Notamacropus eugenii: one gene and its partners. The protein of the gene in region 3 interacts with the protein of the main gene of each other region in a pairwise test. Links are inferred from orthologs where the notes say so. Each region holds a gene or a part of one and is shown on either strand. Other genes may lie near its edges. The genes, in order: SAV1, IL1A and HAX1.

Region 1 (7,505 bases), on a different chromosome or scaffold from region 3:
ATCCATTCATGTCCTACTCCTCCATCCCACATAAGCCACACACAAAAGATGGTCATACTCTTTATTTTACCATCAATCACAAATGAACCACCTCTGTGTTTATGAACTCTGAAATTCCCTTATCTGATTATATTCCATTGGCTTTCTACCCTTCCCTTTGCCTTCCATTACCAAACCAGGCTTTTTGTCCACACTGTGCTCTCCAACCACTCAGTTCTCTCTCAGACCATCACTTCTGCACTAGCCTCCTCTTTCCCAGTTCAACTCTATAATGTCCTCACCTCTTAAATGTCTTGTCCTCTTACCATAAGGCCAATTATGCCCAGCCAAGTCTCAGTCTTGTATCATTCCACACTCCCAGTGTGCATCATTATACAATTGCTGAACAAAGGAGAAAAATCACACAACTGTTCTGAGTCCACTACAAATTTGTTACCTAACTACATGTGTCCTCATTGCTGCTAGGCAATCACTCCATACTTTCCTATTTAATTCACTATTCCACTCTCAACAAATGTTCTTGCAAACCTCTTCTCCCCTCCTCCTCACCTTATAATACTCTGATACAAACTGCTACTATTTCCTCCTTCACCTGAAGCACGATGTGGCCCCTCTCCTTGCCAAGGCAAACCCGGATATCTGCATAAGTGGTTCCATTCCATTCTATCTCCTCCAGCGGTATGCCCCCTCTATCATGCCAATTCTCTCACTTAAATACAATCTCTGTCTACTGGCTACTTCCCTCTTGCCTGAAAAACATGGTTATGTCTTGATCTTCCATCTCCACTAATTCTCATCCAATATCTCTTTAGTCTTTTGTGATTAAACTTCTTAAGAAGGCCACATATAATAGATGCTTCCACTACCTTTCTTCTCACTATCTTCTTAACTTCACAATCTGGCATCTTCTAACTTCATTATTCCACCAAAATTGCTCTCATCAAAGTTAACAATGATGTTCTAACAGCCAAATACAATGGCCTTGTCCTAATCTTCAGACTTTTGGACCTCTCTGAAATCTCTGACACATTTGGTCATCCTCCATTCCTCAACACTCTCTTTGCTTTAGGTATTCAGGACACTGCTCTCTCCTGGTTCTCTTCCTACCTGCTCCTTCTCAGTCTTCTTGGATGGATCTTCATCCAGGGGAGTCCCAGTAACCTTAGGTATCCCACAGGGCTCTATTCTGTGCCCTCTTTTCTCTCTGTATTATTTTACTTAATAATCTCATCAGCTCCTATGAATTCTATTATCATCTTTAATGTTGATGATTCTCAGATCTCCTTATCCAATCCTAACCTCTCTGCTGAGCTCAGCTCCCATCTCCAAATGCCTACTGCACATATCTTAGAGACATCTTAAACTCAACATGTTCCAAACTGAACTCATTCTCCCCCCCTCCTCTGTGGTCCCAGCTAAAATCTCACTTTATACAAAATGTCTTTTCCAATCCCAATTAAATAAACTTAAAAGTTTATAAAGAGCTTAGTACAGTTTGGTCCTTAGTAGATGCTATATAAATGTTTATTCCCTTTCCCTTGCCTTCTCTGCCCCCTCCATCCCTCTTAATTCTAATCTCTTCTGTGATGATTTACTATTTATCCTCTATATAGCTTCTTTGTACATAATTGTTTGCATGTTATCTCCCCCAATAAATTGTGAGCTCCTTTACGGGCAGGAACTGTCAATGCCCAGTGCTTAGCACAGTGCCTGGCACACTGAAGGCATTTAAAAGGGGCTGCTAAATGGTGCAGTGAGTATAGCACTGGGCCTGAAGTTAGGAAGATCTCAGTTCAAATCTGGCCTGGGACACTTACTAGTTCTGTGATCCAGGACAAGTCATTTAACCCTGTTTGCCTGAGTTTCCTCACCTATAAAATGAGCTGGAAAGGAAATGGCAAACCACTTCACTGCCTTTGCCAAGAACACCCCAAATAGGGTCAAAAGGAGTCTGCTACAACTGAAGGACAACAGAAACAGGCACTTAGTAAATGTTTATTGAATGTCTCACTTTCATCATTGTACCCCCAGCACCTAATAGGCTACCTGCCACATAGTATATTAGCCCTCAATAAATGCTTTTCTATTTATTTACTTACACATTCTATGATCCAGCAAAACTGGCCTCCCTCCTGTTGTTCTATCACCTGTTTCTGTGCTTTTGCACTGTCCTCCCATGCTTCGAATTCCCTCTCTTCTATGCCTTAGAATCCCTAACTTCCTTCAAAAGTCAGCTCAAGTGCCACCTCTTTTATCATCCCTCCCCATCTGCTAATACCGTTCCTAAAAATTATATTTCTTATTTATGTTTATGCATACTGTTTCCCTATAGAACTTAAGTTCCTTGAAAGCATTTGCCAATTCATTTTTCTCTAGCACACAGCAGGCCTTTAATAAAGGCCTGCTGTTTCACCAGATGTCTAAAAGCTGGAACTGGTTTCCAAACACTTCAAATTTAAACTTTTAGATGGCTAACTCCCTGAAGAATCATAATTCACATTGTTACACTAAGTCTTTTATCGTAAGTGAAAACAATGCCAACATGGATACAGAGTAACATATAACGTGATACTCTGTCCTAAGGGCAAGATTTTGATATCTCATGTACTGTTTTTAGTTAATTGTTCGAAGGAGAAAACAAACCAAAGCAAAAGAAACCAAAAAATAAACATCATTAAAAATAGTGCCCTTGGAAGTAACCTAAGTCAAGGAGACACAGGTAAAGCAACCAGGCAAATCCCAGAGTTATAGGTATGAATTATATATGTGAATGTATAGATTTTGGCCAAAGCACGGGCTGACTGGTGCCTGGCACCCCTTCCCGCCAGCCCCAGGTCGCCCAAACCCAGCTCAGCCCTCATCCACACGCAGCTCCAAGCGCTCCTTCTCCACCCTCCCCGGCAGCGGGGCCAGCAGAAGCCAAGCCTTAAACTCCCGGGCTTCAGGCCCCGAAGGGAGCGCAGGGCCACGGCAGCCGGCCCTCCCTTCTCGGCGCCGCCGCCACGCCCCTGCCCCCTCTCGGCTCGCCAGGGACTCACTCCGCAGCAGTGGCGAGGTCTCCTTCTTTACGTACTTCCCCTGCACTTCGGCCGGTTTGGACACTTCGTTCTTCGTTTTCTTTCGCGACAACATCTCGCCGGCCCGGTCCGGGGCCCCCCGAAGCCTCGCAGGCGCCCAGCGAACTTTCCTAGAGCGGGCAGCCCCGGCCTCCGCCGCGCCAGGGGGCAGCGCCACAGCCCACTTCCCTTCCAGCCGCTAGCGAGCCGCAGTCGCCCGCCGCCCCAAAGCCCCGGCTCCTCCGCAGAGAATGCTGCATTTTACGGGGCTGCTAAGTGTGTCGGCCGCTCCGCACGCTCCCGTTCGACCCTTTCCGGAAGCTCGCCTGCTCCGCGGGGCCGCCCAGGGAAGCGCAAGCGAACGAGGCCAGAGCCATGATCCGCGGCGGCTCGGCCTGTGCCCGGGAACGAAATCGCGGCAGACTCCTGCGCCCGGGACCTTTCCTGTAGGCTGCAGGGGATTCTGGGGGATTGTACGCAGCACGTGCCCTCTTCCGCCCGTTCTCTAGCCGGGCACAAACAGCGCGGGGAGAGCTTAAAGGAGTAGCCAGGGGCGGCTCTTCTTAGTGAGTCCGGGGAGGAAGCCAGGAAAGAAGAGTACTTGAGGACAGGAAGGAAGACGGGGAAAGTCTTCATTAGATTCCATCTCAAGATCTGTAAGTTCGACCCTCCGGGGAAAAAAATGTTCAGCCCTAGCCCGACAAGGGCTTAAAAAGAGAAGGGGAGAAGGGAAGGAGAGGAGAGGATCAGTTTAAAATTGGTATTTGATAGGCAAAAGTCAAAATCATTCCCTTCCCAGCATACAAATGAAATAGAAAATAGGAAAAGGAAACATTTATTCTTAAAGAAAATATGGAAAAACAAAATCATATATCACAATTATATGAACAAAATATTAAACATAAACTTGAAAATTGCCACTCTTGAGCAGGTAAGAGTAACATCCAAGTTGTGGGCCTGGGTGACTAGGAAAATGGTGGTACACGCCAAAGGAATAGCATAGGAGGAGTGGAGGATATTTGTGGGAAAGATAATAATGCATCCAAGAGCCCAGGATGCAGTCTGACCAGTGAAATTCTTTTTACAAAGCTTTGTTGAAATATACAGTATTCTTAAAATCAATATGCTCAGTAAATTTAGGTCGTGTGGTTGTCCTATAAAAAGGTAATAGTTGTATGGACGGGACTCATTGATGACATGGATAGATTTCTCTAAAATCTGGCTTACCTCTCCAAGGAAGACTGAGTCCTACCTCAAGAGCAGAGAAGAGCCATGACTGAACTCTTGCTTCTTCTCTTGCCTGTTTCCAAGAGAAGTATCAAGCTATAAGTACATCTATCTGCCATCTCAAATATCAGTATTCTAGGTGTACAGGTTGTTGTTGTGTTCGTCTTTCGTTTTCCAAGAAGACCATGACATCAGAGAAATGATGATATGACTTGCGTTTGACTTTATTTTGAGTTTAGGAGGGCTGTGCAAGGTCACCAGCCTCACTTTCTCCTCCTCAGGTGTACAAGAATAGTTCTGAAGGAAAGCCAGGTCCCTGATTACTCTTAAAGATGAGAATAGCCCTCATTCAAAAAAGTGTAGTGCTGTCAAAAAAAAAATTTAACTTCATAATCTGTATTGTAGACACAAGTCTGCCAGAAACAATTTCACATAACTTTATATATAAGCATTTCCAGCTTAGAGAGAGAAATGTTCAAACTGAACTCATTCTTATGCCTCAGGACGTCTTTATGCTCCAAGATAATTTTCTGAAATATTTATAAGAATCTATAAGAACTGTTAAAGTAGTTTGGTATGACATTTCAGAACAATGGTCATGAATATTAGTTATTTAATCTTCGACTAGAACCACTCAATTCCTTCCTGAACTATTCCTCTCAAATTCTGAAAGGATCTTCTTTCTAAAATCGTAATCTTTTCTGAACAACAAGAGGTGCTTCTTTCTTACTGGAAAAGAGATTATTTCCCAAGGATGGGTCACCCACTACTCTAGTTATGATCTTAATAAGAGAAGAGGTACTCTGTTCAAAATTTGTTTTCCACTTTTAATCCAGTTTCCTGAATATTGACCTAACCCACCTTCCTAAGGTGACAAGTCTGGGAAGGATTTTTGAGACTGGAAAAATACATGTTTCTTCATATTTCTAGAGAAGATCAAAAGAAGGTTTCCACCTTTCCACCAAACACTGGTTAAACAAAGTAGCATCACAAATGAAGAATAGCAAGTAAAACCATTTCAAACAACTAAACAATCAAAGAAGTTACACACATTGGAATATATCAAAGAATGAACTCTTTAATAATAAGATAGCTCATAACAAGACAGAAAACTCAATATCAATTAACTGCTGTCCCCTTTTCCTTTTTCTTTCAATTCCATCAATTTCTTAAGGAAATTAATTCAGATTGTTTAGTGGAAGGTCAAATACTGAAGGTGAAGCTTAAATACTTTGGACACATGGAAAAGATTGAAAGCAAAAGGAAAAGGAGACTGCAAAGGAGGAGATGGATAGATGGTTCCATGGAAACAATTGAATGTGAACTTGGACAGATTTTGAAAGATACAGGAGGATGGAAGGGCTTGTAGTGCTATGACTGAACAACAATAGCACAGAATACTTGTTCAATCCCTGAAATCAGGACATACTGGTGAGCCAGACTCCCCTGTACGTTTACAGCTCCTCTATACATCTTGTCCAAGGATTGTCTGGAACCACAAGTCTTTTCCCAAAAAAAAGTACTGGCACCAGCTCTATATCTTGTTCAGGTACTCAACATCAAGTATTCTCTCCAACAACCTGAGTCAAATCTCCTGCATATTCATCAGTATGCAAAATGTCCCAGGCTTGGTTAGAAAACCAGATACACGAAAATTCAAGATATCATCTATTGGAATCCCTGATTTCCTTCAAGACAGCTGAGAAAATCTCAAAGGTCTGCAGAAAGTTGTTTCCCATCCAAGGTTACCTCACATCTGCTTTGTATGTATCTAGTTTCCCACCCACCTACATCCCATTAAGATGTCCATTTCTTTCCAACTTTCCTGACAGCTCCCTTTTCCTTCCGCCCCTTTTCAACTACACATTGACTTCTCTATCAAATAGCCTGTGGAACCGAATCTCAAGAGCCTATTCTACTCCAACCCTCTAAAGAATGAGAACAGATTTAGGGCAGAGATTGGGGAATTCTCACAAGTGGTAAAAAAAAAAAAAAAAAGCTCCAGGCTTATCTAATCACTGATTCTAGGAAGCAGAAGTTGACTCCCTCCTAAAGGAGCAAGCTATTGGGATTTTTTTCCACCAAGGCATTAGGATAGTTGCAGGAAAAGTTCAAATGGAAAACTGGAGGCCTTGGATGCTCCTGAGAACATAGAAGTAAAGGATGCTCTCTGCAAGGAATCTTCTCTGCTCCCTGCAACTTTCATAGCCTGGGTGAGAACCTGGTTTTACTGAGTCAACTAAATTTATTAGAATCCCATGCAGGAAATGCTCTTTGTTCCTTTTCAGGTAACTAAGATGGTGACTTGTTTACAACAGGCCTCATAAGGATGACAAAGGATGGGGTGAAGTTCCTAAAGAAATGGGTTTGATAGATTGGATTTATGCAGTCTCTCTTTCCCTCCCTCTGCCAGACCCTATGTCTGGATATGATTGCTAAAAGATATGTGATTAATAAGAAAGCAATTGATGACCAGTTCACAGAAGTGTTAGCAAAACTGTAGAAGGAAATTGAGCACCAAGACTTATATCATACAGACTTTCCAAAAGATGGGTAGACTCAAATTTATGGAGAATGGAAGAATTTATAACCAAACAAGAGATAAAGAACATTATGAAATGCAAAATGAACAATTTTGATTACACTAAATTGGAAAGTTTTTGCACACACATACAAAAAAAAACCAATACAACCAAGAGTAGAAGTGAAACAGAAAGCTGAGAAACAATTTTTACAATCAGTGTCTTTGCTAAAGGCCTCATTTCTAAAATATATAGAGAACTTAGTCAAATTTATAAGAATACAAGTAATTCCCCAACTGATAAATAGTCAAAGGATATGAACAAGCAGTTTCCAGATGAAGAAATTAAAGCTATCTATAGTCATATGAAAAAATGCTCTAAATTACTATTTATTAGAGATGCAAATCAGAACTCTGAGCTACCACATTATATTATTATATATTATATTATACCTATTATATTAGCTAACATGACAAAACAGGAAGATGATCAATGTTGGAGAACATGTGGGAGAGTTGGAACACTAATTCATTGTTGGTGGAGCTGTGAGCTATTTTATTAGCTAACATGACAAAACAGGAAGATGATCAATGTTGGAGAACATGTAGGAGAGTTGGAACACTAATTCATTGTTGGTGGAGCTGTGAGCTGATCCAATCATTCTGGAGAGCAATTTGGAACTATGCTCAAAGGGCTGCAG
Region 2 (8,517 bases), on a different chromosome or scaffold from region 3:
CTTATTAATTACAGTTCTTAGTTCTTTCAGTACTGTGAGAAGTATTCACTAGACCTGGTAATTTGTAGTCTTTTATTACATCCTTATTTTGGGTTTTAAGTGACCATTCATTTTCTAGGCTTTTCCAGTCCAAAAATTCTCTTGATAGAGAAAGCAAGAGTAAAATAAGTTAAGTAGCTCTTCCTTCCCTCCATAATTCATTATTGTCAATCATCTATCCCAAGCATCAACCCAATCAATCCCAATAAATCAAGCATCTCTGATGAACCAATCAATAAACATTTATTAAATATCTAGTATACGCAGGCACCATGGTAAGCACTTCCTTTGTCGGTGGGTTGTTGAGTAGTTTTTCAGCCGTGTCTGACTCCTTGTAATCACATTTGGGGTTTTTTTGGCAAAGATACAGGGAGTGGTCTGCCATTTCCTTCTTCAGCTCATTTACAAATGAGGAAACTGAGGCAAACAGGGGTAAGTGACTTGCCCAGGGTCACACTGCTGGTTAAGTATCTAAGGCTCAGAAAGGTGAATCTTCCTGATGTCAGGTCCAGCACACTATCCACTGCGCCACCTAGCTGCCCTGGTAAGCATTGGGAATGAAAAACACAGGGATCAAAACAGATACAGCTCCCAACTCAATTTAACTGCTTCACACTTTCTGTGAACCTAGCTGTATAAGACACAGTTACTAGAAAGAGGAATAAGCAACAATGAGCTTCCTGTCTACCCTTAGTTCTTTTTCACTTGTCAACCACTGGCTTATGTTGCAATATTTTAAAAGCTCCATGATGCAAGGATGATTTCATCTCTGTCCCTGTAATCCCCCCCAGTCAAGCCCAGTGCTTGGTGTATAGTATGTCTTAATAGAGGATTCCTGGACTTGGAGACAGGAAACTTTGAATCCTGCCCTTTGATATATAACTAGCTGCGTAGCCACAGGTAAATCTCTCAACTTCTCTGCACCTCAGTTTCCTCATCTGTAAAAAAAGGATAACAATACCTGTTGTAACAAACTCACAGGGTCAGTGAGTCTTACAAGGAGGCAGTGGAGGAATAAAGACCTTTCCAAACCACAAAGACCCAGACCAGGAGCTCTGAACTGGACTCCAGGAGTTTATTTTTTCAAACACTTAGGTAATTGTATTCCAATATAATTGGCTTCCTTTGTAATTCCATGTGTTATATTTTCTGTATTAAAAATAAAAAACCCCAGGATTCTGAGTGGTCTTTAAACTTCATCAGATTGACAAAAGTGCCCAAGACACAAAAGGTTAAGAACCCCTGGTCTAGACAAACACCTCCTATTATTATCAGTTGGATGGAAATTGTAAATGACATAGTCGTATTTGTTCGAACTCTGCCAAAGGAAGGTTTAGAAAGAATCAAAGTAGGGGAGAAGCAGGACAAGAAGGAAAAGGGAAAAGGAATGATGAAGCTTGCTGCGTAGAATGGACATTTCCACAATAACATGAGTACCACTAAAGACGTGATTAAACCCAAACCAGAATTTGAGAACTGGATCTTACAGACATTGGCACCCAAACAAAAATGTAGCCCAAAACCCCAACTTTACAAATAAGAAAACAGAGCCCCAGTATGATCAAAAGATTTGCTCATTTAAGTAGTGACAGAGAAAAGACTAAACCTAGGTTTCCTCCTCATTCCCTAGTCCATCAGGACTCTTCTATGTAGCATACCATTCTATGAACCAATCATGCTTGTGGGAGACCCCAACCACATCAATGTAACTGTTCCTGTTGCTGCCCTTTGGATCATGGATGTAGACCCAGAACTCCTTGCTTCCCTCCTTACGGAGGGAACAGAAGGTTCTGTTGAATATATTTCACTGAGTTTAAGATTAACTGGCTTTGCTACTAACCATATGTAAAAGCATAATTGGACAGAATGTTTGCAGGCTAATTACCAGGCAACAAATTGGATCAACTGATTGGTTAACCATCATCTACTTAACACTTGACTATTAGAATAGTTGAAAAATTGATTCAGTTACTCCCATAGTCCATCAGTCATGCATAGACCTGGGCACAAGGATATATAGAGAATGTATATGATTCCGGTGCATTGTCGTTGGACTTTTGAATTGGTCTAAAAATTCTGGAAAGCAACTTGGAATTAGGTTAGGAGAGTGATAAAAAGATCATACCTTTTGACCCAGAGAATCCACTGCTAGGCAAATACCCCAAGGCGATCAAGAACCAAAAAAGTGTCCACACACACCAGATCTTTATAATAGTCCAAGGACCTGGAAACAGAAGGCCATCAACTGGGGAATGACTACTCACATTTTGGTACATCTGTCAGTCAGTCAATAAGCATTTCTTAAGCACTTAATATAAGCCAGTCACTGACCTAAGTGCTGGGTACCACTGGGACTTCCTGATATGGCCATGATGAATTGTCTAACCAAGACTCTTGACTAAGCATGAGGATCTTATGGAAGACCTTGGTGACTTTTGTTAAGACCTCACCTGACTGGGGCACTGTTTTGGGGCACTGTTTCTGGGCACTGACCAAACCCCAACTCTACTACCACTACCTACATTTATCATAATCACTTTTATACATATCTCCTACCCTCCATCATGGCATAAGACCCTCGAGGGCATGAGCTATATCACTCTTTATCAACTGTGCAAGAGACCCCAAGTTCTCTGAGCATCAGAAGCTCTGAATTGGAAAAGGTCTTTCAGTCCAACCAGTATCTGAAGAAGAATTCTCATCTACAACATACACCAGACTAGTGGCAATCCAGGTGTCCACTGAAGTAAAAGACCCAACATGGTGCTTTACACATGGTAAGCACCTAAGACATATTTTCTGAACGAACTGGAATTATGGAATTTTCATTCTGTATGCTGTTTTCCTAGTCCCCACCCTTAAGAAGCACAGGTAGATCTTAGGATACAGATGGGGGTGTACTGGTTGTGTTGATCATCTAGACTTAAAGAAAGCAACGGAAAAAATGTTAGTAATGGAAATTAACTTTAAAAGAATCTCTCATGCACATTTTTTTGGAAAGTCGTTTGTTAAACATTTACCAGCACACCCTTACATACAGAACATGCATACATAAATAATTATTTAAATGTTAGATCTTCACAATGACCCCATGAGGTAGGTGCTATTATTACTTTCATCGTAGAAACTCAGTTTGAGAAAGGTAACATGTGACTTGGATAGGGTCACACAGCTAATTAAATGTCTAAAGGAAGATTGAAAGACAGATCTTTCTGACTCTGAGACCAGCGGCTGTCTAATCCTTCTAGCAGTGTGGAGAGAGTGTTGATTTTGGAATCAGGAAGACGTACGTTCAAATACTACCTGATGAAATGGGGAGCAAAGGCAGATCTTGAACCCAGACTTTTCCTGATTCAAAGAACAGTTCCCCAAGCTCCCAGGTACCAGCAATGTATAACCTGAATTTTTCAGAACACTCCAGACTTGGGCGAAGGCCGAGTGACAAATTCATGTCTCTTGTGATATTTACAGCATACAGAGTCCTAAGACCTCACAAGACCAAAGTCTCTCTTTGTACCCTCTCTTCCTCAACATTTCATAAGAAAATATTGTTAAAGAGGGTCACAGGAAGGAAGTAGTCTAGTGACCAGATAGTTATCTTAGCTGTCCCCTTGACATCTAGGATATTCTCTTCAGAGGAGTCAATGCTAAACTAGTCAGAACCGGTAGAATTGTTGATAGACTCAGGGTTTTTCCTAGATTACCAAAGAGAAAAATATTCATCATCCCAGCAGCTCATCTCCATAGTGGTTCAGTTACTACTTCCCACTATGAAGGAGCAAGTAAAGAAATATTACATACAAGGAGAGCTGTCAGGCCAATCTGATGGGAGCTTAGGGTGCATGAAGAGTAGGATGAAATAAGATTAGAAAGGTACATGAGAGACAGGAGACTTTAAAGATCATAGGAGATGTTCCCAAGTGATCCAACCCACAACTGTCATTTTTATTTAGCTAAACCCCCTTGGCACTTGAAGCTCACAAAGTACTATGCTGTTACACCTGAGTTAGAATCAGGAGGAAGGGTGATGATTGATGTCAAAATGTATTCATTGTGATGGAGAAACCAAGGCAAGTGGGAAGGGCTAGAATGTGTCCCTTTCACTGTTCAGACTCTTGGTGACCCCATTTGGGGTTTTCTTGGCAGAGATACTGGAATGATTTGCCATTTCCTTCTCCAGCTCATTTTACAGATGGGGAAACTGAGGCAAACAAGGTTAAATGACTTACCAAGGGTCACACAGCTAGTGTCTGAGAACATATTTGAACTAGGAAAGATGAGTCTTCCTGACTCCAGGTCCAGCACTCTAGCCACAATGACACCACCTAGTACTGCCCAGGGCAAAAAAAGAGCTGACCTGGAAGCCACTGGTTTCACCCACTTTCACCAAGCCCTGAGCTCTCAGGGGTCCTACCACAGGATACTTGCATTGGAATTTGTGGGAGGTATGAAGGACTCAAGTTCCTTTTCAAAGGTGAATATTTCAGTTGCTAAAAGTCCCAGGCCCCACCCCACCCCCAGTTCCAAATCCTGAGAAATCTGTCCCCTGCAGCCCTCTTTATTGTGTCTAGACTCATTACCAGATTCCTGGGAAAGCAGTTTTCACAGAGACCAGGCCATGACTCCTGATGTCAGCAGGGCCTGACAGCCCACTGTCCTGTCCCATTCAGGCCCCCAAAGTCCTGATTGGGAAGGGATACTCACTTATTTCTCTATTACCTTAATGCAAATGCATTACATTATAATGAAAAACATTTTCCTTAAGACAGCCCTACTGGGTAGATAATATGAGTGTAATTATCCCCATTTTACAAGTGAGGAAAGTGACTCTGAAAAGAGAGGGTAACTTGCCCTCAGTCCCAAAGTTTGGAAGTGGTGGGACTGAAAATCCAGCCGAGTGAGCCTTCTTTCTCCCTAGACAGTCGAGGTCAATCGCCTTTACCAAGAATACAAAAATACTTCATAGTGACTTCTGATGTTGTGCAACTTCTAGCCACACCCCCGGGCAGTATATGCATGTATATATAAAGGCAGTCGGGGAAGTGCAGTCAGTCACAAGTCTCCCGGGACAGACAGAGAGACATAGTCACCCAGAGCCAGAAGGAACAAGAGGTAAGTAGTGTGACTGTCCCGCCTCTGGTCTCTGCATGCTTTTTGGCGTCAGCTGCCATCTCTGAAACTGCCTTGGCTGAAGCCACAAGCTCAGCATCTCCCTGTCTGTCTAGTGCCAGACACACTGCCTTACCTCAAGATAAGGGATAGTGTGCCCGGAGGGGTGGGTGAGGCTTGGGGGAGAGGATTGGGGAGGAGATCCTTCAGAAATGATCAGAATCAAAACATACTGATTTCTCCCAACTCTGCTTTTTGTCTCGTTGAGTTTTTTTATAAGAAAGCAAACTGGATTGCATCCAGCATTAGCACCTGGTAGAACGTCGGTTCGGTAAAGAATGAGATGCTTTCATTTCTCTCTCTGTATTCTCACTGTCTGGGGCAACTAGGTGATGTAGTGGAAAGGGCAGGCGGTAGTCCGAAGGAAACGTCTTCCTGAGTTCAAATCTGGCCGCAGATACTCACTAACCTGTGTGACTCTGGGCAAGTCACTTCACCCTGTCTGCCTCAGTTTCCTCATCTGTAAAAAGGGCTGGAGAAGGAAATGGCAAACCACTCCAGCATCTCTGCTAGTGATACAGTGGATAGAGTGCTGGACCTCCCAGATAAATTTACTATCTATGTGACCCTGGGCAAGTCACTTAGACTCTGTTTCCTCAACTGTCAAGTGAGAATGATAAAGGCCCGTGCCTCCTGGGGTTGCTAACAGGATGTCATGAGATAATAATTGCAATGTGCTTAGCACAGTGCCTGGCACACAGTAGTAGGTACTTAATAAACATTTATTCCCTTTCCTTTGCTTTTCTCAACAAGGAAGTTATCATGGCCAGAGTCCCTGACATGTATGATGAGCTCCATTACTCCTATGGGTAAGCAGGTATTTTTCTTTGTTTTAATGCCACAAGGCAGTCTGAATGCTGGCTAGCTACAAGGAGAGGGTAAAACTGAACTGTCCAACTAATAAAATTGTAAGCAACGTGGCCACAGGCCAACAGGAGATTTCACACAGATGTGTCCTAGATCTGGAATCAGGGCAGATTTGGATAAAAGCCTGGAAAAAACAAAATCCAGACAAAATCCAAAGAAATCTTGTCAGAAGGAAGGATGGCATTCCAGAAAGTTGTTTATAGGAATGTGCAAGAACTGGTCTATGAATGTTAGCTTCATGTTCCTTTGCTGAGCTACAAGTGATTTGAGAAAGGGAACACAGACTTACCTGATACTAATCAGAACTATGAACCGATTGTTTGTGTGCGTGTGTGCGTGCGTGCACATGTATTCCCTTTCCTTTCCTCAGTGGGTGGAAGGTTATTAACTAGATTAACAAAGTACTAGAATTATGGAATACTTTAAAGAAATACAGTTCATTCTTTTTAGTAACACACGTAATTGACATGCAATATTTCTGAGTAGAAAGAGTGATTCTAAAACACTTGGCCAACTATCTGTTTTCTTAACTAGATGAAACATACTGATTTTTAAAATTGCTTTGGTTTTTCTAGCAAACTATTTTCCCAGGTCAGAGCCTATTCAAGAGATCACTAGCGCTGAAGTAGAGGGATCTGTGTTAATAAGGGCTTTCCATATGTAAATGTAGTCACATTGAGCTGTAGGTAATTTTTAAAGATGATGTGAAGGTTGGTGTGATTAGAATCTGTCTATGTGTGACTCCTGGAAATGACATGATCATTAAAACGTGTTGCCAAGAAGCGGTGACCAAACAACAAATAAAGCATTCCTCCTTGCTTTGCAGTGAAAATGAGGAATTTCTTTTGGACATTGACCAAGTCTCACTGAGTCAGGTAAGGCAATGATTGTCAGCCTCTTAAGATTTCTGTGCTTGAGAGTGAATTGAATGGGATGGGATCATGTCTTAAAAAAATGAAATTAAGCGGTGAGAGAAATATATCGGGAGGAGAAAGGGAGAAGTGGAGTGGGGCAAATTATCTCTCATAAAAGAGGCAGGCAAAAGACATTTTAGTGGAGGGAAAAAGAAGGGAGGTGAGAGAAAAACATGAAGTTTACTCTCATCACATTCCACTAAAGGAAGAAATAAAATGCACACTCATTTTGGTATGAAAACCTATCTTACAATACAGGAAAGTGGGGGAGAAGGGGATAAGCAGGGTGGGGGGGAGGATAGAAGGTAGGGCAATGGGAGGAGGGAGCAATTTGAAGTCAACACTCTTGGGGAGGGACAGGATCAAAAGAGAGAATAGAAGCAATGGGGGGCAGAATAAGATGGAGGGAAATATAGTTAGTCTTACACAACATGACTATTATGGAAGTCATTTGCAAAACTACACAGATATGGCCTATATTGAATTGCTTGCCTTCCCAAAGGGAATGGGTGGGGAGGGAGGGATGAAGAGAAGTTGGAACTCAAAGTTTTAGGAACAACTGTCAAGTACTGTTCTTGCTACTAGGAAATAAGAAATACAGGTAAAGGGGTATAGAAAGTTATCTGGCCCTACAGGACAAAAGAGAAGATGGGGACAAGGGAAGGGAGGGATGATAGAAGAGAGGGCTGATTGGTGATAGGGGCAATTAGAATGCTCTGTGTTTTGGGGTGGGGGAAGGGGAGAAATGGGGAGAAAATTTGGAACCCAAAATTTTGTGAAAATGAATGTTAAAAGTTAAATAAATTAATTAAAAATAAATAAAAATTAGAAAAAAAAAAAGATTTCTGTGCTTGGAGAAATGTGATCTTTTGTCCTTGTCTCCCTGCAGAAGCAAGAGGTTCAATATGGTAAATGGCAGGCCAAGTTGAATGGAAGCAGATTATATTTCATTTCACTGGATTTCCTTGATAAAAGATCCCTTTCTCACGCAGTACAGGAATATCTTAAGGACCCTTTCTGAGTCATAAATACAACTGTCTATCAAAGGATTATAAGATTTTAAGTTTGTTAGGAATGTCCAATTCCATCATTTCCAAATGAGAAACCTGAGGCCCTAAAATGTTCAATAATTATCTATCTATATCTAGGGAGATACACACATACACATATACATATATGCATGTATTTACATCTATGTATGTGTGCATACATGCCTACCTGAATATGTAAAATGCAGCTAGGTGGTGCAGCGGATGCAGTAGTAGGCTTGGAATCTTCCTGAGTTCAAATCTGGCCTTAGCTGTGTGACCCTAGGCCACTTACTTAACCCTGTTTGCCTCAGTTTCCTCAACTGTAAAATGAACTAGAGAAGGAAATGGCTAAACCACTCCAGCTTCTCTGCCAAGAAAACTCCAAATGAGGTCACAAAGAGTTGAACATGACTGAAAAATGACTCAGCAACTGGGATGAAAAAAGAGATGAGAATAAAAAGATGAGAAAGGGGGAATGGGCAGCTCTAAATCAACAA
Region 3 (7,852 bases):
GGCAATTCAGAAAATCCTAGGTACCATGAACTGATGCAGAGTGAAGTGATTTGAACTAGGAAACCAATTTATACAAGGAAATATTGTAAAGAAAAGAACTCTGACGCAAGAACACACAATGCAATGTGTTCAGAGGACTTACAGATGAAGTATGTTATTTGATTCCTGATGGAGAGCTGTTGGACATAAGTGAAGAAACAGATAAATATTTGTGGACCTAGGCACTCACCAGGTGAACTCATTTTGCTTGACCATGCTTGTTTCTTTCAAGGGTTTTGTTTTTCCTTCTTGTTAATTAGGGAGGGAAGAGGAGAAAGTTAGCTTTAGGAATGCAAAAGAAAAAGAGGGCCAGTCAAAACAGAACAAAGAAGGGCAGTTTTGAAGTTAGATGTTAGACTTTGTTCTATACTTTTTAAAAAAATGCCAGCAGTATGAAATGGAGATTTAGGATTTCACAGAGATTCCTTTTCATGATCTGCTATGTGTATGTAGTATTTAAGTTTAGAGAACAAAAATTAAAAAATGAAGATGTTAGTCCAATGACCTCCAAAGCCCTCTGAGCCTATGATCCTATGTGAACACTGAAACAGAAAAGATTGAATAAACTGCCTCCTTAACCTCTCTTTAAGTCCCTGGTCTCCTCTGCAGGCCCTCTCAAATAGCCAGCATTTGATAACGTCCATTACTTTTTACTAAATGTACTAGGTTAGAACTGCTGTGATTTAAAAAAAACTTTTATGCTAGTAACTTTATTTCTTAGTGAGGAATGTTCCTCACTAGGAACATTAATACTTGATTCAAGTACAGGAATACAAGAATATTTATACTTGATTCTCATTCATTCTGAGGTGGGGGCAGATCAAAGAGAATCAAAAGGCCCAGATGGGCCCTACAGGGAGCTGGACACACCAAGAGACTGAGGCAGTAGCATAAATAAAGATTTTATTTGGGCGGTGACAAGGGGGAGAGGAAATGAAGAGTACCTCTTTCTTTACCTGTCACATTTCCTACCCCTCCTCCCCCATACCCTCATTGTGGCAGGAAGATCAGCTGAGCCAGCTGGTGATGTCAGGAACCCTAGATGGTAATGAGCAGGCCAAGGAGGGGAGGGATGCAGTCCTCCATGAAGTCATCTTGGGCTACCAAGACCGGAACCATCGTCTTAGGAATGAATTCAGGATGGAGGAGCTGTCCCCCAACTCTGGATGTTGTGGGGTACCTGAATCTAGAGGAGAATTAAATATCCAGGCAGGAAGGAATGAACCAGAAGTGTGTCAGATTGAGGATCCTGAATTCTAGATGCACTGGCCTGTTTGCTGGAAAATAACTTTCATCCCCCCAGTTCCAGTCCTTTTGCATGGGTTGATCCCCTTGCTGGGTTGAGTTCTCTCTCTGAGGAAATAACTCTGGGTGCTTTTATTTAGTTATCTGTGTACATGTGGTTACCCCAATTAGAATGTAACTCTCTTAAGGGCAGAATAGTTTTATTTTTGTCTTTACCTCCCCAGGGTTTAACACAGTAATTGGTATTTAATAAAGGTATGTTAAGTGGATTTAATTGAGAGGTCAAGAGGGTAAAGGGGAACAGGATATAGCCTGATATAGTGTAGACTGGAACTAAGGAGAGCAAACGGAAGAGAATTAGAACTCAGCTTCTCCTTCAAGGGCCTTTCACCTCTGTAGCTCAGGGATGGTCTCACCATTGCCTCTCTCTTCAACTCACCATCTCTAGAACTGCCATCTGCTTCTCGACGAGTTACTGTGGTTTCTTTGTGGCCCTCACTATCTATGACGGTGCGCCGCTCCTCTACCACCTGTGGGAACAGTTATCCCACATATTCAGGATCAGAACAGATGACATATTCCATGGACCCCAGCCCTTCATGATCCTCCCACCCCCAACCCACCCCATCTAGCTCACCCCATCTGGTCCAGTTATTTTGGTAACGGAAACGCTTCTGAAGTATGATTTAGGCTGGGGCTCTAGGACTTGACCCAGGCCCTCCTGTGAGACCCGGGAATCAAGATCTGGTTTGGGGGGAGGGGGGGGTGAGAAGAGATGAGGCATTAAAAAAAGTCGTGGAGGGGTATCAGATACTCAGAAAGCAAGCTGGCAATGTTCAGAGATAAGAAGTGAACTTGAGCGCAAGGGTCTGAGAAGGTAATCAAGGACCCCTTGTGGCCCTGCCCCTTCCCTGGCACATACCCTTGTCCTCTCTGGTTGTAGCATCAGGAGTCACTGGCCACATGTCATCAAACTGCAAAAGAAACCACAGCTGATGAAAGGGGTCCCTTCTGGTCACCTCCCTAACTCCATCCTCTGCCCCACCCCGCTTCCTGAACTACCCTCGCTACCTTGGGGCCCCCTGTGTATGGTGACAAGGGCAATGGACGTGAAAGCAGGGGACCTGGGTTTGAAGTCTGGCTCTGCTCCCTCGCGTCCTGTGGCCTTGACAAAGCACAAGGCCCATCCCTTTGTCTGCAGACTGGAGGCCTCGGAGGCCTCTCTGCCTTCTGGGGGTTCCTCCCCGAGGCTCATCACTCTCCACCCTGCCAAGCTCAGCTCCTGTCTGGCCTCCTGGCGCCCCGGCACTAATGCCCTTACGTTTGCAGCCGGGCTGGACCATCCGTCCTGGAAGCTGTGCGCTGTCTCCTCATTAGACTAAGAGCTCCCTGCACTGAGGAACTGCGTCCCCCGGATTTCTCCCACATCCCCGAGGTTTGGTGGCTCTTCCAGGGGAACGGGCCTCACCCCACGGAGTGGCCTCTTGGAGTCCCAGTCCGGGCCCGCTTTGGGAGATGGACGCCCTGGCCCGCTCTCCGAGTCCCGGCTGAAAATCCTAGCCTGGTGACTATCTGGGTACTTGAGCATCGAGTCCCGGATGGTCTCGCCCTCCCTCCGCCTCCCGTCTGGGCGCTCCGGGCCTGGGAGCTCTGCAAAAGGGCAAAGGCACGTCAGGGCCCGGGGGGGGGGGGGGGGGGGGGGGCAGGAAGCGTGTCTCCTGCCTCCCAGCGTGCGGGGCTTCACGCACCGGGGGCGCGGGAGGGCAGGGTCCAGGCCCCCATGTCTCCGAAAATGCGGTTGAAATCTCGAATCAGCTCATCAAAGCCAAAGTTATCGTGGAATCGCATCTCATCTCCAGGCCCGAAACTAAAGCCAAACGTGAAGTCCTCGGGGGCCCCAGGGCCGCCGAACCTGGAGCCCCACGCGCCGCCCCCTCCTTCGTCCTCCTCGTCCTCCTCATCCTCTTCTCTAGTCATGCCTCCAAAGAAGGGGTCCCTGGGTCTGGGAGGCAGAGAGAGAAGCACAAGGACGTGGACACCGAAAGGGCACCTAAGCGGGCCGGAGCCCGGGGGAGGCTGGGTTTGGGGCGTGTGTGTGTGCGTGTGTGTGTGCGTGTGTGTGCGTGTGAACATGCGAGCGAAGACTGTTGACATCTAGACATACACACAGCCCTTCCCCTGTCTCTCCTCACCCCCGCCACCTGTTGCGACAGTTTGGACGGGTGCACCGTACAGTCAGGGGGCGAAGGAGGGAGATGTCAGGGGCCGGGGTCCCCCTCCGAAGGCTCCCCCCATTTTTTTAACCGTCCGGGCCCCACTCTCACCTCTGAGGCCCCGAGAATCCGAAAAAGCCCCGGAAAAGGTCGAACAGGCTCATCCCTCAGGCGGGACTCGAACCCTCCACCCGCCCGCACCCCAAGGCCCGGAAGGGCACCAGACGGCGGGGATCCACCACACTGCCGGAAAGTGATCTTATCTTAGGACTGTGGGGGCAGAGGGCGAGGGAGAGGGGAGGTTTCGATGCGGCCACACTGCCGAAAAGCGAGAGAGCAGTACGACCGTACTGCCGGAAAGCGAGGAGGGCAGACGGACCGACTGCGCTACTAGGGTAGTTGCGACACTGACGGAAAAGTAGTCACACTGTCGTAAAACGAACGTAAGAGCCCGCTCGTGGGAAGGAGGGAGCGGCGATGCCGGCGGGGGCAGGACCAAGGAGCGGGCTGAACTGTAGGAGGGCCGGAGGAGGGGCACATCCGGGTCGAAGTGGAGGAGGAAGCGGTTTTACTCCCGCGGAGATCCGTGGTTCGGTCCCCGGGGGCTTCGTGAGACAGGTGGCTGTGGAAGCAGAATCTCCGGATCCTGCCCTCCGGCTGCTCCCGGGGAGGTCCTGCAGCCCAGCTCCTGCCCCCCAACCCTGCCCCTTTAGATTGATGCTCCCGGCCCCACCATGCTACAGAGCCCAGAAAGCCTGCGTTGTGTGAGGGGAGGCCAGAGTAGCCGGTGCAACAGGAAACCCAGGACCCCTCGGGTTGGAGTTGCTGAGAGCTCGGGCAGGAAGGAAGAGGGCTGGGGATCGGTCTGGTCAGGAAACCTAAGCCAGACAGTGCAGGGCCTCGGGCACAAAGCTGCTAGAGGCGCCCTGCTCCATCCACCCCCGCCCGCTCTGGCAGCCCGAAAGCTCTCCAGGATACGCGGGCCGAACCCAGATTTCCCTTGGGACAAACAGGGCAACAGTTCCTGCTGGAAGGCGCAGGGAAGCCTCATCAGTGGGGCCGAGAGAACAGCTCTGGGGGTTGGCAGAGGCTGAATCAGAACAGGACAGGCCACGTTGGAGCACGGGGTAAAACCCTCGAGATCGAGGTGACGGTCTCCAGGGTGCCTGTCGGCTCTGACGTTCTGAAATTGATTCTTGCCAGGCTGATACGTCTAAAAGCAAGATGGACAAGATGTCTTCAAGGTGCATTCTGTGTTTACCAAGGCAGATGGAGACACGAAGACAGACTTCCTCCATCCTCCTCCCTAATTAAATTTTGTAGCCACAAGGGGGTTAGCTTTCCGTGGGCCCCGAGGGTAGCACAGATGTGGAAGTAAGGGGGAACGATGGTGAGATGGAAAGGGAAGCTGGAGTTGCGGTGGCTAGGGGGAGGGGTCGGATGGATTTATTGTTCACCCCGCCCAAAGTGTACTCTGTATTTCCACTCCTTTCTACCTAAACAAGACCCTTCCCAGAAAATCACAAACTGATTCTGCCAGTGTTGTGTACCCCACTCCTGGGTGCTTCCCAAGTAATATGTTTAGATCAGCCCATGTTCCACTGCTTTACTGTGCGAAAACATTGTTTCCAACCCAGTTTCTCCCCACTGCCCTTCTCACTTCCTAGTTTAACACTAAAGGTGAAGTGCTTCTGAGAATTGAGCCGAATGACTCAGTGTCAGGAAGAAGGGGACACCGGCACATCATGGTTAGGAGTTGTTAAAGGGCGAAGATTTCATTTTATTCCACTGCCTTCGGAGCCTGCTAGTAGAGGCCCAGTTGGTACAGTAATACTTATTCACCCAGCTGGTCATCAGGGAGACTGAGGACATCCTAGACGAAGCAAGAATGGGCAGAGGCTGAAGGTAGAGGTTTTCTTTTTATATATACAAGACACATTAATCCATTAAATTTGAGGACACAGTACAAAAAAAAAAACCACTTCAACTAATTCATCTGACAAATCTGTTCATATTCATGACTTTTTTTGTTTTGTTTTCCTAATAATAAAAAGGGAGACAGGGCTGTTAGGCTGATGATATCTATCTGGAGTCCTCTCCCCCAGCCACTTCCCACCACCAGGGTGAGCAGGAAGAGGAAGAGGAAGGCCAGAGCCCACAGCAAAGAGTTTCATAATCTTGAATGCGGGGGTAGTGTGGGGAGAGAAGAAAAAAGAGAAAGGAAAAAAATACAAATCCTATATTACATACAAGAGGATAGGTAGGAGAGGAAAGAAAAGGGCCTTCAGAAGTGAAGCTGAGGCCTGGGGCAGGCTGCGGGGGGGCAGCAGGACCCTCCACTCCACGTGCTTTTGTGTTGTAGCTGTTTCCTTAGGTGCCAGGCTGAGGCCCTCTCGGCAGGTAGGGGGGCCAAGGAGGTGAAGAGGGCCAGGGCCTCAGTTGGCCCCCCAGCTGTAGCTGTTGTAGGCAGACTTGCTGCTCTGGGGCTTCTGCGGGATGGAGCTGGTCTGGCTACGTTGCCCGCTGCCCGTCTGCAGGGGAAGGGATGTTGGGGTTGGGGGGGGAGGGAGGGAGGACAGGGAGGAGAAAGGAGGCCAATTAGCAGGGACCTTTGGGTGGGAAGGCCTGGGAACTGTCATGTTCCTCCATTTCTCCTCCTGCCAAAAGACCACTCAAAGGCTACACTTTCCCTTAAGCCCTTAATCCAAAGAAGTTGTTGTCTGCATAATCGATGGAACCCTTGGAAGTTCTAGTCCCTCTTCGGTCAGCAATAGCATAATTCTGATTTCAAGACAAGAAAATGCAGAGGGCAAGATACCTTCAGAGCTCATCTAAGGGACTAAGTCAGTTTCTGCTCATTCTTCATCTTAACCCTCCACTTCACCAAAAAGGCCACTCATCTGGAAAAAGATTCTCAGATGAGTGGTCAAAAGAGCTGGGTTAAACTGATTTTGATCCCTGTGACTCCTTATTTGCACTGCCTTAGAAACAAGGGAGCACTACTTTCTGCTGTGGAGATAGGGCACTAAAAGAATGGGTTCCATAACACCCCTTCCACCCCCCATCATATCACTGGACCCCTATATACTGAGCAGGGTAGAGAGGGGAGACTTGTCTAAGGCTTCCAAGATTCAGATGCTTTCCCAAGAACCCTATCCACTCTAGTAGCCAAGTGCCTTCTACAGTTGGGAAGAGAGAAAAGGAGAGGAGGAGAAGGGAAGGGGAGGCCGGAGAGCCCAGCAAAGTGTGTGAGTGTGTCTATGTGTGTCTGTGTATCCCGATTTGTGGCCGCGCAATCTTTCTTCTCCTTGATTTCCCCAGGGCTGTGGCATGTGGGGTTTGGGACTGGCAGGGGGTAGGTACAATTATATCATTCAGAGAGTTTCATTACCTGCTCCTCCTGCTGGCGCTGGCAACAGAGAATCATCTGCAAATATGGTAGCTGAGGCAGAACCAGGATATATGGAAAATAAAGGGACAAACTTTGACAATAGAAATCCATGGTTAGAAGGGAAAGCTATAGTGGCAGGATTGGGGAGGGGTGGGGCATGGTCCAGGGCTATTGGGAAAATATAGGGGATGAAGTGTGCCACAACAGGGAGGGGACTCAAACCCCCTCCAGGTACCTATCGGGCTGAGCAAAAAGCTCCCCAACCTGGCCCCCTCTCTGTCAACTCCCTTGCCGGCCGCTTGTGTCGTGTACGCTTGTGTCTGTGTGTGTTGTGTGCCCATGGCCGGCGCTGGGGATAGATGGGGAAAGGGAAGGGAAGAGGGAAGGGGGAGGCAGCTTTAAGGAGTGGTAGGGAAAAGGATCAGTGGGGGAAGAAAGACAAGAGGGGAACGGTGTGTTACCTGGCCATCCTGCTGCAGATGGTGATGGAGGATCTGGGAGTGTGGCTGCTGATGGGGGGTCAGGATGTGCATAAAAGGGGCTGGCGGATAGGCAGCGGCTGTGGCCGGATTGATGGGCCCTCCACTCCCCAGGGCTGAAGGCAAGTTGAAGGAGGCAGCAGGAGTTCCAGAATGAAAACCTTGTTTCTCAAAGGACTGCTGTTCAGGGATGGGGGAAAGCACAATGGAATCAGCAGGGCCATTCCTGACTACTTCTGATTCCCTATCCTTTAACACCATTCTTCACTCTTGGCAATTCATCGAACTAGATTGAAAACTCAGAGCAAGAGCCATAATTTCCACTCTCTTTTATTCTTGCATTATCTTGTACAATGTAACTACAGGCTAAAAGTGCCAATGACACTGGTTGAATTTAGCACTGCTATGCATAAAGGTAGATAGCATTCAGAACTACTTTGAGTTCTTAGAAGAAATGGAGTAGTAGTCTGAAAATTCTTGGATAC

What was found.
Region 1: the proteins of HAX1 (region 3) and SAV1 interact in binary tests that used the Homo sapiens proteins (3 or more experiments, as listed by UniProt). The link is inferred for Notamacropus eugenii from reciprocal best matches to the Homo sapiens genes HAX1 and SAV1.
Region 2: the proteins of HAX1 (region 3) and IL1A interact in binary tests that used the Homo sapiens proteins (3 or more experiments, as listed by UniProt). The link is inferred for Notamacropus eugenii from reciprocal best matches to the Homo sapiens genes HAX1 and IL1A.

The regions. Positions count from the first base shown.
Region 1 is NC_092872.1:308,773,589-308,781,093, forward strand, and holds the start of SAV1 (protein salvador homolog 1), read right to left. Parts: upstream 3,540-7,505; 5' UTR 3,133-3,539; coding exon 3,039-3,132; intron 1-3,038. UniProt on the Homo sapiens protein: Regulator of STK3/MST2 and STK4/MST1 in the Hippo signaling pathway which plays a pivotal role in organ size control and tumor suppression by restricting proliferation and promoting apoptosis.
Region 2 is NC_092872.1:717,206,693-717,215,209, reverse strand, and holds the start of IL1A (interleukin-1 alpha), read left to right. Parts: upstream 1-5,082; 5' UTR 5,083-5,151; intron 5,152-5,961; 5' UTR 5,962-5,970; coding exon 5,971-6,017; intron 6,018-6,901; coding exon 6,902-6,950; intron 6,951-8,517. UniProt on the Homo sapiens protein: Cytokine constitutively present intracellularly in nearly all resting non-hematopoietic cells that plays an important role in inflammation and bridges the innate and adaptive immune systems.
Region 3 is NC_092873.1:378,175,995-378,183,846, reverse strand, and holds HAX1 (HCLS1-associated protein X-1), read right to left. Parts: upstream 3,545-7,852; 5' UTR 3,439-3,544; coding exon 3,033-3,438; intron 2,935-3,032; coding exon 2,753-2,934; exon of another isoform or gene 2,606-2,752; intron 2,259-2,605; coding exon 2,207-2,258; intron 2,029-2,206; coding exon 1,922-2,028; intron 1,815-1,921; coding exon 1,724-1,814; intron 1,226-1,723; coding exon 1,140-1,225; 3' UTR 926-1,139; downstream 1-925. Other genes in the region: UBAP2L (ubiquitin-associated protein 2-like), read right to left, coding at 5,933-6,028, 6,889-6,939, 7,350-7,547. UniProt on the Homo sapiens protein: Recruits the Arp2/3 complex to the cell cortex and regulates reorganization of the cortical actin cytoskeleton via its interaction with KCNC3 and the Arp2/3 complex. Slows down the rate of inactivation of KCNC3 channels. Promotes GNA13-mediated cell migration.